3 linked regions of the Danio rerio genome follow. The protein of the gene in region 1 purifies or fractionates together with the protein of each later gene. This does not show direct contact. Links are inferred from orthologs where the notes say so. Each region holds a gene or a part of one and is shown in the gene's direction. Other genes may lie near its edges.

Region 1 (4,886 bases):
AGGTCATTTGACGCATCAAACATATTGGGAATTTCATGAGAAAAACAATGGTGTGCCTGGTTTTAATGTAACTTTATTTTTTAAGAATAGTTATATTAAAACCAAGCAAGTTTGATGGGACAATGATCCTTTTCCTATCGAAAAAACAAATTTGGGACAAAGATGGCCGACTTTAAAGTAGCCACTATGGTCACCACCCATCTTGAAAAGTTGGCCCCCTCACATATACTTATGTGCCACAAACAAGACATTAATATTACCAACTATTCCCATTTTATTAAGGTGTATCCATGTAAATGGCCCACCCTATATATATATATATATATATATATATATATATATATATATATATATGTGTATGTATATTAGTGGAAAAAATGCATATATTTCTTCTTTTTTTTTTTTTTTTACTGAACCAGTCTGCAGTAACGAAAACAGGAGACTCATTAGAAACAAACAAATGGCCAACCAAAAAGTTACTTGGGGTTATACAAGGAGTGGCCAACACAAAATATATACATTACTGATCCGAGTCCCATCTCCCACTCAATACACTACAATATAATTATAGTATAATAAATACAGCACTAAAACATAAAAGAGAGAGAGATCAACTTATAATGTCACTGGCCTTTTTAGTAATAATTTGATCATGTATAGTTAGAAATTACTGTATGGCGTTTTTCTCCTCCAAGGGGTTATTATCTTGTGGATGGACATTGTCAATCGTCTTTGCTTCGTGACAGGCTAATCATCTCTCTGAAATCACGCTGTCTCTCAGAAATTACATTAAAAATTGGCATTATCCGTATAAATAAACTGCATAGAGTTGCTAAATGAATGAATATAATAATATAGCATATTAATTGGTTGTAGATACATTTGGAGAAAACGCATAAAAACATTTGGTAAAAAATTGTTCTTTGTTAAGTATTTTCGCCATCTTGCCAACATCTCGTTATGAAATCTTGCATGGTTCAGTTGGTCTCGATAGCTGCAAGTTACACCTTTCTTACCAACTACACCTGTCTTGCAGTCCGCAGACAGATACACTTGATGGTGCCTGTCTTGGAATGCCTTAAGCATTAGTTGTGTGTGTATGTATGTTTATACAACAGTTCTGTCTGGATCTCGAATCTGATTGGCTGATAGCTGTGATATATTTAAGTAATATCAGCATCCGTACAGCCTCTTTACCCTTTGTGTATTACTCCGTCCACATACAGCCAGCAACAAGCAGACACTACAGTTTGACAAACATTACTGCTGTTACACAACAAAATATACTTTTGAGGCTTTTTCAAGAATGTAGTTGTTTAGATCGCAACTATGCAGTTTATTTGCAAGAATAATGCCTATTTTAAAATATTTACAATTTCTGAGACAGCTCGTTGGCGGCAGTTGACGCTTTCTACCAAAAGATGGCGGCAGAACCGCATAAGCCCTTACGCTTAGACGATATAACAGTCTGATTTCCAACTATAGCAGATTAAATCAATATTAAACGGGTAAGCACACCAGCCAACACTTCCATTTTTCATGGGAGTATCACATATTTCAGACCAGTCTACCGCAAACATCCCGTTTTTATTTCTTTCAAAAAAAAAAAAGTCTCGTAATTTCACCCACCTCCCTCTTTATTATATATATATATATATATATATATATATATATATATATATATATATATATATATATATATATATATATATATATATATATATATATATATATATATTAGTGCTGACAATCGATTTAAAAATGTATTAAAATATAAAAATAAAAAAAACGAATTAATCACACTTTTTTTGGAAAAATTTTTGCATTTAAAAGACTGAAACTTGTAATTTTGGCTATTCAAATGTAAACTTAATGTAAACGCAAGACAAAAATTATTTAAATTCAAAATATAATTGTTTATTAGAATTTGTGTATAACTCGTAACACAGATTTTTTCATGTAAACAACATTTCCACACAAATCCATCAAGATGCTGGCTTGACATTCATATTTTCTGTGTGTTAATGCCATTTTAATTTTAAAACAATCAATACCAGTAAAGAAAAAAATGATTTCCAAGTTCGATTCTGCAAAAAAAATGCCAAAATACAGGCATCGAAGTTATGGAAAATGGAAAATTATAATAACAATAAAGAATTTAATACAAACAATTGTACTCATTGTAAAGTTTTATTGCTGTGAGTTGAGAACATTAATTATAAAGTAGAAACAATTTTGCTTAGTCCTCCTTTACATTCATCCAGTTGCTAAGACAATGCAGTCTGTTGACCTTTTTTTTTGGAATAATGTGAGCTGAGAGTGAAATGCAATTCATTGCATGGCAATTCGTAACTTTTTGATTTAGTGGCTACAGACAACAACGTTTAGGCAGGTTTCGCGCACACACAGACCAGGGCCATGCATAGGGGGGTGGCCCTCTGGCTAGAGCCACTGCCCCTCCGCCCTTATTGGCTGAGGTGCCCCTCTCAGGAGGCATTTGCTCTTCACTTTACGATCGCGTTGAGTACCTGCCCTTGTAAGGGTCTGTGCTTTGTGCACGGGCCTGACACAGACACACACACACACACTCATACACACATACATATGCACACAAAATGCGCGCAGGTCAGGACAGGGCAGCCGGAGCGACTCTCTTCAGATTCAACACGCATGATCGCGTTCATCAAATTTGCTTAAACTAAGTGTTCTAAAGTATGCCTGTATTTCATAAGGATTCTGACACAACAACGGGAGGCAGACACTTTACAAAACTTAATGAAACATTGGAGGGCTCATACTGAAAGGCAGAGGAATGCGCTGTCTTTGAAAACTCGCGACTTCATCTGACACGTTCTGAGTATGTACATGGACACCAGTACTCCGATTTTAATATTATTAAGATAATACTCTTATTAAGAGTCTACCATGTAAGCAACAATTTTTGATTATCTTAAAGGACCACAGAGTCACGAAATGCTGAGGTTTTTCTTTCCGTTCGTCATGTGGTATCAAATTCCATTAAAACAGAAGTTGAAAGTTAAAAACGAAACACCCGAAATTGCATGAAACTCTGGAGAGCCTGGTGATGCGACATTAAATGTTTTATACTGAAACTTGCCTTCAAAAAGTGCTTCCTTGGTCTTATTCATATTTTTTGCACGTTAAACACACTTCAACAACAACAGAAAGTAAAAAAAAAAAAAAAACTGCAACTGCGTTCATTTTTTTTTAACGCGTAATATATTAAAAATAGACTTTTTACTTTTAACAGGTAAGGTTCCAGGAGATGACTGTCCATTGGTCTGGGGTCAGTGTTCACACTGTTTCCACATGCACTGCATCCTGAAGTGGCTGAACTCTCAGCAAGTGCAGCAGCAGTGCCCGATGTGCCGTCAGGAGTGGAAGTTTAAAGAGTGAGCTTGCCTGTCAGGCAATAGCATAATATCCTAAAATATTGGACTTTGACTAATGAAGTTCTTTTTAATTTCAGGGGAGACACTTCCTGAGGAGATTAATTGCACAGAAATAAATGCTGCGTCGTATCAGTTTTTATCTATAGTTTGTTTATGATATGTTTCCTTGTTAAATGTCCCAAAAATAAAATGGTGAAAAATGACATGGTATGATTTTTTTTGTAGACTGGTGGAGCTGCTGTTTAGTAAATCATGTTTAAACAGTGACATTTGTATTGAACTGAACTGAATTAAAGGGTTGGGTCACCAAAAGTGAAAATTGTTATTATTTACAATGCAGAACAGTCCTAAGGGTATTGCACAAAAGTAAGATATCCTGGCAGAATTTAAGTTACTACGGAGATTTATTTTTTGCAAAGATTATTCCTAGTGATTAAAATGTTAAGATTAAAGAGATAAAAAGATGAATAACTAGAGAGGAAATACATACACAGTGCTCAGCATATACGAGTACAACCCCTTTTAAAAAATTATATTTTGATCCATTTCTCAGCAAATATATACAAAATTTTTGGTGCATTTAAACAAAACAGCTATATTTTTTCACCTAACACCTTCAGGTATAGAAAGATAATACATTTAAATTCAAACGATATATTGCAAAAAAATAAATAAATTATGCACTAGAAATTGTCAACAAATGATGATCAAAAAAATTATGATGAAACATCATATAATAGATTCAGTCGACTCAATTAGAAAGAAAAATCCTAAATGAAAGTGATATACATCATCTAGAGTGGCCCATTATGCACTCACATGTCCGGTTTGCTGTTTTGTGAGGCATAATGGTTGTTATATTGTACAAATTGTATTATCAATCTACAATCTAAATACAGTAGATTTAACATCTGACCCAAGTATCAAACAAATAAGCAAAACAATAAGAAATTGCAAAACGTTTATCAGTCTTTATTGTTAATAACTAATGGTTTAATTACTGTTTTGTTTTATTCTATGAAACATATTACTGCTTAAGCTACAAATTCCTGAAAAAAAAATATTTGTATATATATATATATATATATATATATATATATATATATATGTATGTATGTGTGTATATATATATATATATATATATATATATATATATATATATATATATATATATATATATATATATATATATATATATATATAATTGTTTGTTTTCTACTAACAAATTCTGCAAATTTATTTATTTTACTCTAATGCTAAAGTGTAAAAATCTAGGCTACAGAATCTATCTATCTATCTATCTATCTATCTATCTATCTATCTATCTATCTATCTATCTATCTATCTATCTATCTATCTATCTATCTATCTATATATCTATAGATAGATAGATAGATAGATAGATAGATAGATAGATAGATAGATAGATAGATAGACCTTAAAATTAGTTTTAAAGCTCGTTTAACAATCTTT
Region 2 (5,121 bases), on another chromosome or scaffold:
AAGATTTATTTGTTTCAAAGTAATTGATACCTATTCGGATATTTCAAAGTTAAATGCTGAGTTACTCTGTTTTTTGATATTTTATTTTATACTCTGTTTTTTATTTTATGTTGCATGAATCCTTTTTGTTTTTGACTGAATCAAGCAGTTTAAATCTTGCTTAGAAGTGTATGAGTTTATATGCTGATTTAATTTAACATTCATGCCATCAATGTATTTTGAATGTAGCAGTCTGTAAGTGAGATGACTTCAAGAACTATCAATACAATAGAAAGATTAGTATTGGTCATAGAAAGGAATAGAATTGGAAGCAATAAATCTCATTACCATAAATGTAATGGCTTCACCTTCTTTTTAGATTCATATCATGTCTAATGAAGCTCTTCAATGTTTTTGTAATTTTTAGTTAATTTAATTGTTGTTTATTGTCTGTCAGGTTGGCAGAAGGAGAACAGATCCTGACCGGAGGAGTTTTGAACAAACAGAAAAGTCAAGATGACATCATAACTGAGTTTGGAGACTCGGCCTGCTTCACTCTGGCATTGCTCGGACAAATTTACTGGTATGTTGAGCTTGTTTGGCTTCTAAACTTGATCTGCTGAAATCCGTAAACTGTAGCGAAGCTATGAAGATATCTACTCTGCTGTTATTGTTGAGCAAAGAGCTGTTAGTGAGAAATTGTTGTTTAATTTGTGGAAAGGCGACTGGTACAAAGCTCTTAATGGATTTAGTGGTAACCAAGCCTGTTTTGAGTTTTTTGATGTGCTCAGTGACCATAAGATTGCTTGAATTCAGTATTTCTACAGGTAGCTGGTGGCAGGTTGTTTAGTAACAGAGGCTCCTTTGTTTTTTTTCTATGGGAGATTCCTTTTCTAATGAATCATGTGATGTTGTGTAAAGTAGGGTCATCCAAAATACTTACTTTGTTTTTTTGGTACGGAAATTTATAAATGTCCACTCCCTGCTAACATTTGAGTGCTGTTGAGCCGGTTCTTAAACACTGCAGACTGGCCAGTGTTCACATTCAACCGATATAATGGATTTGGATTCAGTGATCATCACTTTATCAGTATTCACCAAGCACTGGCACGAAACACAAACATTTGCTCTTCAGTGTTTGAAATTTTTAAGCAGTGAAAATTAAACCACACTAAGCTGAACTTCCACTCTGAAAACTGGACTGACACTGTTTCAATTTACTAGAACTTCTATTTTAAGCATGTATGTCAACATGAATTGCCTTTGAAAGCTACATCTATCAGCTGTTCCCTTCATGAGCAGATATTTATTTTTCAAATTTCATCAACAATTAATTTCGAAGTACATGAACATTGGTGTAAACTGCCTCACAGAGCATAGCTCATCCCAAAAAATTAAGAGTCTTTTGTTAATCTCTTTATCCTCAGGCCATCCAAGATGTAGGGATGTTCAATAGAATGTTAAGAAGCAAATTTATTTAAAGTGGCATGTGGGAAGCTGGGAACTGCGCTGTACACACACTCGTGTCTCATTCAGCACACATCCAAAAGTGTGCATGTTTTGCTTGCTTTTTATTGATCGCATGAAGTGGGTCACTTTGAAATCTAGGACATGGCAGATGTTTAAATCAGTGACTTCAAGTAATATTTGAATATGTTGAGACATCAAGTTTTCTTTGTGCTCACTTTGTTCTCACTACAAGCAGAAGCTGGGATTCTCGACAGCTTTACATGAGATGCTCCACTTTAATCTACTGTTATTATTATTTTTTTTAATTAATTAAAATGAAAGTGCATTTTCAGCCTGTTGTAATTTGGATTTCTGCACCACAGTTAAAAATGCATGATTTGTAGAGTCACTGTAAAGTTGAACCATAATAGAGTAAACTGTCATTTTAATTGGATGTTTGTTTAAGGCTTGTGACTAAGAATTTTGAGGTTAAAGCATTTGGGCACAATTATGACGTTTATGTAGCTTTAACTATAACTGTATGTAATTTGATAGAATGCAGACAATACAATGTTATTTGATTTAGAACTGGGCGATAAATTCAAAACTTTTGATTTACCACTTTACCTTGATTTCTTTAGTGTTTTGGCTTTTAGAAAAGCGCATTCTAAATTAAATTGATTATTTCAATTATTGATTGCGTTTTTTATTTTTACATTTTCAATGTAATTATTTATTTACATATTGTTTTACCTTTCATCGTTTAATGCGGTATCCTTTGTGCTGTAAATATACTCTACTATTAAAGGTGAGAAATCTCTTTCTAATGAAATTGTGCTCTTTTAGGAAAAGTCAGCTATATACATTTCATATGTGATGACTGGAAATAGTAAACCTAAACCTATTAAATCTGTAAATATTTGTTTTACAAAATTTATGTAACTTATGTTTTACCTTGGCAAGTTTAGTCATTGTACTATCACTGTGGCATATTCTTAGAAGTAAAGGAATAAGCAGCTGGAAAGGGTGTTGCTTGCAGCTTGACACATGGGTTATTTAAAATAAAAAATTAATGATCTATTGCTACTAATAATCTGTCTTGCTTCTGAATATAAATGCCATTGTCTGCGTTCACTCAAACTGATTTGCTGAAGTGAAATTGTGCATGGTATGTGTGCACTGACCTTTGAATTATCTCCAATACCAAATAAGCCAGCTACAAAGAATATGATTTATATGTTTGAGAGATTCTCTTTTTTTCTCCTATATAAGAGAAAGAGTGAGTTTATGGTGTGTCAGACATGAACATGGTTCACACAGGGTGGTATGTTTTTAAAGAGAAAGTAGAAATAATGAATAACCGAAATGACCAACATGGGGAAGTTTCGTTGGTTATAAGTTATGAATTTTAGTTTCTTTTCACTTAAGTGTCCAGCCCTAGTTTGAATTTTTCTAATTCTGTACACCAGAAAATTATAAAGCACTATTTATTTTACTTGTGTCATTGCTATACTGTACATTTATGCTTATATTTTTATTATATTTTATGCAGATGCACTGCCCTACAAGATCTACCCCAATGATGCACAGCCTTTTATTCCAATTAATCAAAAATGTTGAATTATTACCCAACAAAGCTATTCAGTTCATCTGGTCAAATTGTATTAATATTGCAATATACTGAAGAAAAACTAAATATTGCGATGTCAGGTTGTTGTTTTTTCCCCCCCAATATCATGCAACCCTAATTTTCTGCTACTAAATTGCTGGCAATCATACACAAAACTAATGCTGCTTTCTTTCCCCTGCAGCAAAACTGATCGGATAGCAAAAGGAGCAGAATGTTACCAAAAGAGCATGAGCGAGAACCCCTTCTTATGGTCTCCATTCGAGTCATTATGTCAAATCGGTAAGCGTGTTTCTCAGAATAACCTCAAGCTATGCAATATTTCTTCAGGAGATGCCTGAGAATATGAGTTTAAATCATGCCCCTCTGTCCTACAGGGGAGCGGCCAGACCCGGAGCAAATCTTCAGATTGACCTCCTTGCAGAATTTTAGTGGAGGCAGTGGAGGAGGCATCCCTCCCTCTCCCATTAGCCCTGCGCACACACCTAGTAACAACATGGGACACAGACAAGTCGACACTGTCCTAATGGAGACCCCACAGGAAACTTTGGTATGTCTGTCGTCTGGTTTTGTACAAGGCTATATACATAAACCAATTGTCACAGCTAGATTTTTGCCTCACAGTAATTTTTTCCAGAATGTAACATCATTACCCAGCTTTATTGAAGCGTGCATATGTGATGTCAGAAAAATGACATATTTATCTAGAAATAGCAAACATTTACAGTAGGGGAAGAGGGAATGCACCATTTTGACTTGTATTTTCTTTTTTTTTTGCCCTCGTATAATCATATGTCTGTGGGTTATTGGTATACCTGTAACCCATGACAGCTGGTTATTTCAGAAAGCATTTTTCTGAGTCATCAGCATATTTGTGTCCACGTAAACAATTTAATCTTTGTTTTATGCAATTGTTTGTTTTTCTTTCTTTAAAGGAGCAAAACCGACTCAATCTAGAATCTTCTAACTCCAAGTACTCTCTGAATACGGACTCCTCTGTGTCATACATCGACTCCTCCGTCATTTCGCCAGACTCTGTGCCACTGAGCAGTAGTGGCTCACTCTTATCCAAACAGGTTCAGAATAAACCCAAAAGTGGCCGCTGTCTACTGGGGGGCACAGCCACGCTCAGTCCCCTCACTCCAAGGTAATGAGCTCCTGAGATTTTAATTGGACATTAAGACCGATATTTGCTACAGGTAATCATGCAGAAGATTACTCCAAGTTCCAAGTACGTTATTTATAATGTTGGTAAAAAAAACTCTCTTAATTCTCCATCCAGTGGGATCTGCATGATGACAGGTCTTTAATACTTGGAGTAGATCCTCCACCATGCTATATTTGTTAAAGCATTTAACTATCAAGCATGCTTAATTGGAGCGCATTTGCTTTTAATTCTTTCTAATTAAAACATCTTTTTATTCAGTTAAATGTTTTAGAAGCTATTTTAGCCTTTTTATTACAAATAGTTTTTAATCATAAATATATTGTAAAAAAAATCTTGCAATAAAAGTAGTTATAGAAGCTGGGATGACAAACAAACGTTCTTCATTAATTCTTTCTCTTCATGGATGTGAAGAACTTTGATCTGTTATGTTTTTAGTCTAGTAATTAGTCTCTCTGTTTAAATGGTGTAGTTTTGGAATTTTGCCTCTGGAGCCAAGCCCAGGAGATCCAGCGTACCTGCAGAGTTATGGTCACAGTGGAACTGGGATGGAGCCACCTCCTGCGCCTGGCCCCCCAAAGAAGGTAAGCCTTATTTATTTATAGCAGATTAGTATTAAAGTACTAGTGTCTAATTGTAGCTAACTATCTTTGTTTTTATTGCTATAACTGTAAGTAGGGCCAAGACAGAATCTGCGGTTATTCTTGCTATTTCTGTGAAGAATTTTGTAAAAAATCGGCGGATTTGTGTGGAATTATTTTGGGAGCATCATAACTAAAAATTTAATATGTGAAATAAAATATCTTTTATTTAATGTTTACAATGCAAATCCATCAAGTCTCTCATATCATATATCTACTTATAGGTAGAAAATATTACTTTACAAACTGTATTGTAAATC
Region 3 (5,121 bases), on another chromosome or scaffold:
ATGACACTAAATAATATTTTACTAGATATTTTTCGAGACAATTCTATACAGCTTAAAGTGCCATGTAAAGGCTTAACTAGGTTAATTAGGTTAAATAGACAGGTTAGGGTAATTAGGCAAGTTATTGTATAATGATGATTTGTTCTATAGACTATCTAAAAATATGTATAGATTAAAGGGGCTAATAATAATTTTGACCTTAATGTTTTTTAGTTTTTTTAACTTTCTTTATTCTAGCCGAAATAAAACAAATAAGACTTTCTCCTGAAGAAAAAATATTATCAGACGTACTGTGAAAATTTCCTTGCTCTGTTAAACATCATTTGGGAAATATTAAAAAAGAAAAAAAATTCAAAGGGGGGCTAATAATTCTGTCTTCAACTGTATATCAAAAGAGGACGTCTCATCACTGACCCATATACAAAATATATAATATTTATATAGCCCTTACAAGTATTATATATTTATTTTTACAAATAAAATGAATAGATTAATAAATACCATATTGACCGTTATTACCTGCTCTATATATTGATAATTTGACAAATTCACATGTATTAAAACAGCAAATAGTGTATTCTGATACTGTGATTGATTGTATTGTAGCTGGACACTGGGCTGCTGTCTTCATGTCTGCCCGAACTGACCAAGATGGCACGCAAGTTCACACATATCTCAACACTGCTACAGGTGACTGTCTTCTTATAATCTTCTGTTCTCGCGCAGATAGTATGTTTCATTCTCTTTTGTCTTTTTAGTATCTGCGTGTCTCTCTCACCTGCATGTGTGAAGCATGGGAGGAAATTCTTATGCAGATGGACCTCCGCCTCACTAAGTTTGTCCAGGTCAGTTCAAAACAAACAAGCAGTTATAAGACACCACTGGCATTCATTAGACATTTAAACCACAGTTGATTATTGCAATAATGGACTGATCCACTGAAGCTATCCTAACTGGCTTTGATTTGTTTATTAAAACTTTTAGAACAGTTGATGAGTTGCAGTGTTGTTTTACAGGAAAAAAACACAAGCACTCAGGTTCAGGATGAGTTTTTGGAGCTGCTGTTATGGGGCCATGCAAGGTAAACAATTTATAGATGAAATAGATGAAATGTTCATTCATGAGTTAAAGTGAAACTGCCGAACTGCAGTTAAAGTCAGGCATCCTGCTGATTTCATTCAGAAGGGCACTTTTTGTCAGACGGCTCACCGGTCAGGTATACATATCAAGGTGAAAGTCATCATAGCTTGCGTAGAATAGACCCAGCTCCCAAACCAACTTTGAGAGTACATTCACGGCAATATTTTTTTGTTGCGCGATAAGAGTCTCGTGTTAGCGCAGCACGTATATTTTATTTATTTATTTTTATTTATTTAAATCTGAGTATTTGATATAATTTTAAAATAAACTTTTAAATCATATATTTAAAACAAATTGTATTATATTGAAGTAGACATGTCACATAGATTTTAGATTTCTTCTATGTACAATTGAGGGCAAAACGAAGAAATTATTGTAATATTTAACAGAGCAAGGACAGTATTTCCTATAATATTTTTTCTTCTGGAGAAAGTCTTATTTCTTTTAGTTTTGCTTAAATAAAAGAAGTTTTACATTAATCCGTTAAGGCCAGGTTTATTAGCCCTTTAAGAAATATTTATTTTTGATTGGTTACAGGACTTATCCAATAACTTGCCTAATTAAATTAACGTACAAAGTTAACCCAATAAACTTATTTAAGCCTTTAAATGTCACTTTAAGCTGAATTCCAGTGTCCTGCAAAGTAATTAGTAAAATATGATGGACTGTCATCACTGCAAAGACAGTCATAAAAAGATAGTCATTAAAACTAATATGTTTAGAAATGTGTTCTTCTCTGTTCAGCAGCACTTGTTTTTTTTTTTAAATAGTTCAAAATTAACAGGAGGCTAATAATTTTGATTTAACTGTACATGAAATCAGTTTTTGTTTAATGTAATTTTAAGTGATAGTCTAAACAAATATAAATACTTCCTAAGTGTTTCTAAACTTTCATGAATTTCTTTTTGCTGTTGAACACAAATCAATATGTTCTAAAGAATGTTGCAAACCTGCAGTCATTGACATTCACAGTGGGAACAGAAATGCTGTGGCTGCTGCTTCCCAACATTCTTCAAAGCATCTTCTTTTTTGGAACAGGTTTGAAACAAGTGGAAGATAAGCAAATGATAACAGAGTTTTCATTTTCGGGTGAACTATTCCTTTAATGTGGACACCAAAATGGCACATCTTGTCTCTGTTTGGAATGTAAATATATGCCTCAGTGGGATGCCTTGAAGACAAAAAGGTTGAGAAGTACCACAGTCAACCTTCTCATGCTTGTATTTGCTCTGAATGACCAACAGAGGGCACAATGTGACTTTAAAACTTTTACAGCTACCGACAGAATCTGAAAAAATACCATCTACAATACATTCATTTACAACCATTATCCAAAGGCTGTCACTAGTAGGGAAATAAGCCAAAATGTGTTTTTTCACCCCATAGATCCTTATTTCTGGATGAACAAAAAAACTTTAAGGAAAAAAATGTTCAGGTTTTTTTTAGATCTCCAGCCTGAATACAAACAGCTGTAGTACTGTTTTTTTGATGATGATGTGTTGATGTTACTTTTTTAAAACTTTATAAATGCAGTTTTCTCTTTCAGCCCTGAACTTCAGGCTCTTCTCATGAATCAGCTCACAGTCAAGGTAAATCTACCTTGCTAATCCTATCTGCTTACATTGCTTTAGTGATTATTACCAACATCATTCATTGTAACTACATTTTTTGTTATTTGACCACTCAGGGCTTGAAGATGCTGGGTCAGTCTATTGATTCTTCCTATTCCAGCATTCAGAAACTTGTTATCAGTCACTTGCAGAGGTGGGTATTGTTCACCTGATAGAGAGTGTTAGCGATCAGCATGATCAGTGTTTGCTGTTCCCATAGTGGCTCTGAGGCGCTGCTCTATCACCTGAGCGAGGTCAAAGGAATGGCTCTATGGAAGCAGAAGTTTCAGCCTCTAGGCCTGGATCCTTCAGACATAGAGGGTAAAACAATCACTGTTTGTAGACTTTAATTATTTTATTATTATTTATATTCTATTATTCATGAATACTTTGAATCAGTTTCAACAATATATTATATATTTTTCATTTTATGTGTTATGCGCATTAATATTTAATTCTAATATGTATATCAAAGGGCCATGACTCCACCCCTTTCTCAGCAGGGTCTTTTCAGACCTCTAGTTTGAAAAATGTCTGGAAAGTGGGTTAGTCCAGCTTTGTTTAGGCGGGAGTGTCGAGTGGAAAAAGAGGGAAGGGTTTGCATGAAAAGGGGAGTTTCATTACGAGCACTACAGCTGATTTTCACAGCGGCAACGCAAACATGGACACAAGGGAGATAGACTGTGATTACTTTTACAAGGACATCAGTAATCAAATTATTTGCTTTAATCTGAAAAAGACAATAATAAGATTAAGGTGTTTACATGAGTTGCTTTTAAATGTTCCTTTAATGCTTGAGACTAGGTAGGTGCAGAGAATAGCATTAAACAGCCGTGTGTGTATAGACTATCCTGTCACAAAAATGTGGTGAAAATCCAACACAATGATATTAGTTTGATTAATGTGTTTACATTTGGAGAGCAGCATTTACAGCGGATCTATCAGTCCATAATATTGTAGTGATTTTAACATACTGTAAATTTAGTAACTTAATCATTTTGACTAAGGCATGTCTTTAAAAACTGAAAGAGTACTGCTGATGATACTAACTAACTTTGCCATCTGAATAAACATAAACAACAAACACTGATCACACACTTACTAAAACCTTAAAGACAGGACAATCAACTCCAACTGGAACTCCAACTTTTTAAAAAAGAAACGAGTGGCTTTTCTGGATTTCACTATATACATATGCAAAAAGCTCTTCGGTACAGAAATGTTCCTTACAAACATATTTTTATTGCGTGTTAGCAGACCACTGTAATGCACATATGTGGGTCCACACACTGTGCTATACTAATGCTGTGCAATACTGGTGACCCTCGTCTCAAAACAATTCTTCTTTTTCCACTTGTTTTAATTACGGTTGGAAATACAACGTGGTGTCTCTCTGAACACCGTAACAGGTAAAAACAGTCTTCGAAGCTATCATGCATATTAATGAAGTTACACCTCACACACAATAGAGCACGCTGATTGGTTCGAACCAAGTCTTTCTCATGAGTTAATGATAAAAACTAAAAAATGTCAATTTGTACTAGCCGGTACAGACATCCAGTCTGTACTCTGGTATTTACACAAGAATCTCATGGCCGTGACGTAGTTTTGAAATTTATTTTCAAACCGGAAGATCTAATTTGCTCGAAATAATGCAAAACAACCAGTTTTCACTTTCACGCGTAGGACACAAATATCACTTTCAACATCTCAAAAAATTGTGTTTTGGTGTTTTGTGATCCTTTAATGTAGTCGCATGGTTATTTTAATCTAGACTTTGTTCAGTTAACAATAATAATAGTTTTGGTGAACAGCAGATAGTCGATTAATCTGATCATATTTTGTGCATTCTTTTGCTTGCATAATATCCAGTTGACAATTAAAAACATACTTTAAATAAAAGTTCACACTAATTGGAATTATGTTTGATATTTAAAAGATATTTTCTTTGCATTCTCTCTTGTTTATGGTTTAGATGCCATCGTAGCAGTGGGCTCTTTTACCCTGAAGGCCAGCGAACTTTTACAGTGAGTTTATTGTTATTCTGTCTACTGTGATCTTATTGTCTGCTCTGTATAATTCATTATAAAACTCTTCTCTACTGATTGTATTTCAGAGTCATCGATAAAAGTATGAAGAACTTCAAAGCCTTCTTCAGATGGCTGTATGTTGGTAAGCAGCATTTTTTTTTGTGTGAGATTTACCTTGCAAATAAATGTAGTCAAGTCTCTGATTCAAAACCTAGTGTTACTTAAAGCTTCCTAATGGAAGTTTGCTAGATTTCAAGTATTGTTATTTTAACAATGTGCAAACTGACACAGAGGATGTAATCCATAAAAAAGGTCTTGAGAAAGTCCAAAAAGCATTCACC

Evidence for each region.
Region 2: the proteins of anapc11 (region 1) and cdc27 purify together in Homo sapiens (affinity purification with mass spectrometry; 8 studies listed by BioGRID, with this or other methods). This does not show direct contact. The link is inferred for Danio rerio from reciprocal best matches to the Homo sapiens genes ANAPC11 and CDC27.
Region 3: the proteins of anapc11 (region 1) and anapc4 purify together in Homo sapiens (affinity purification with mass spectrometry; 8 studies listed by BioGRID and IntAct, with this or other methods). This does not show direct contact. The link is inferred for Danio rerio from reciprocal best matches to the Homo sapiens genes ANAPC11 and ANAPC4.

What each region holds. Positions count from the first base shown.
Region 1 is NC_133181.1:24,265,010-24,269,895, reverse strand, and holds the end of anapc11 (anaphase-promoting complex subunit 11), read left to right. Parts: intron 1-3,271; coding exon 3,272-3,413; coding exon of another isoform or gene 3,414-3,417; intron 3,418-3,490; coding exon 3,491-3,506; 3' UTR 3,507-3,616; downstream 3,617-4,886. UniProt on the Homo sapiens protein: Together with the cullin protein ANAPC2, constitutes the catalytic component of the anaphase promoting complex/cyclosome (APC/C), a cell cycle-regulated E3 ubiquitin ligase that controls progression through mitosis and the G1 phase of the cell cycle.
Region 2 is NC_133178.1:20,775,465-20,780,585, forward strand, and holds part of cdc27 (cell division cycle protein 27 homolog), read left to right. Parts: intron 1-436; coding exon 437-562; intron 563-3,239; coding exon 3,240-3,337; intron 3,338-3,432; coding exon 3,433-3,605; intron 3,606-3,990; coding exon 3,991-4,202; intron 4,203-4,692; coding exon 4,693-4,804; intron 4,805-5,121. UniProt on the Homo sapiens protein: Component of the anaphase promoting complex/cyclosome (APC/C), a cell cycle-regulated E3 ubiquitin ligase that controls progression through mitosis and the G1 phase of the cell cycle.
Region 3 is NC_133195.1:26,086,297-26,091,417, reverse strand, and holds part of anapc4 (anaphase-promoting complex subunit 4), read left to right. Parts: intron 1-606; coding exon 607-690; intron 691-758; coding exon 759-845; intron 846-1,016; coding exon 1,017-1,081; intron 1,082-2,686; coding exon 2,687-2,729; intron 2,730-2,827; coding exon 2,828-2,904; intron 2,905-2,970; coding exon 2,971-3,071; intron 3,072-4,725; coding exon 4,726-4,777; intron 4,778-4,866; coding exon 4,867-4,922; intron 4,923-5,121. UniProt on the Homo sapiens protein: Component of the anaphase promoting complex/cyclosome (APC/C), a cell cycle-regulated E3 ubiquitin ligase that controls progression through mitosis and the G1 phase of the cell cycle.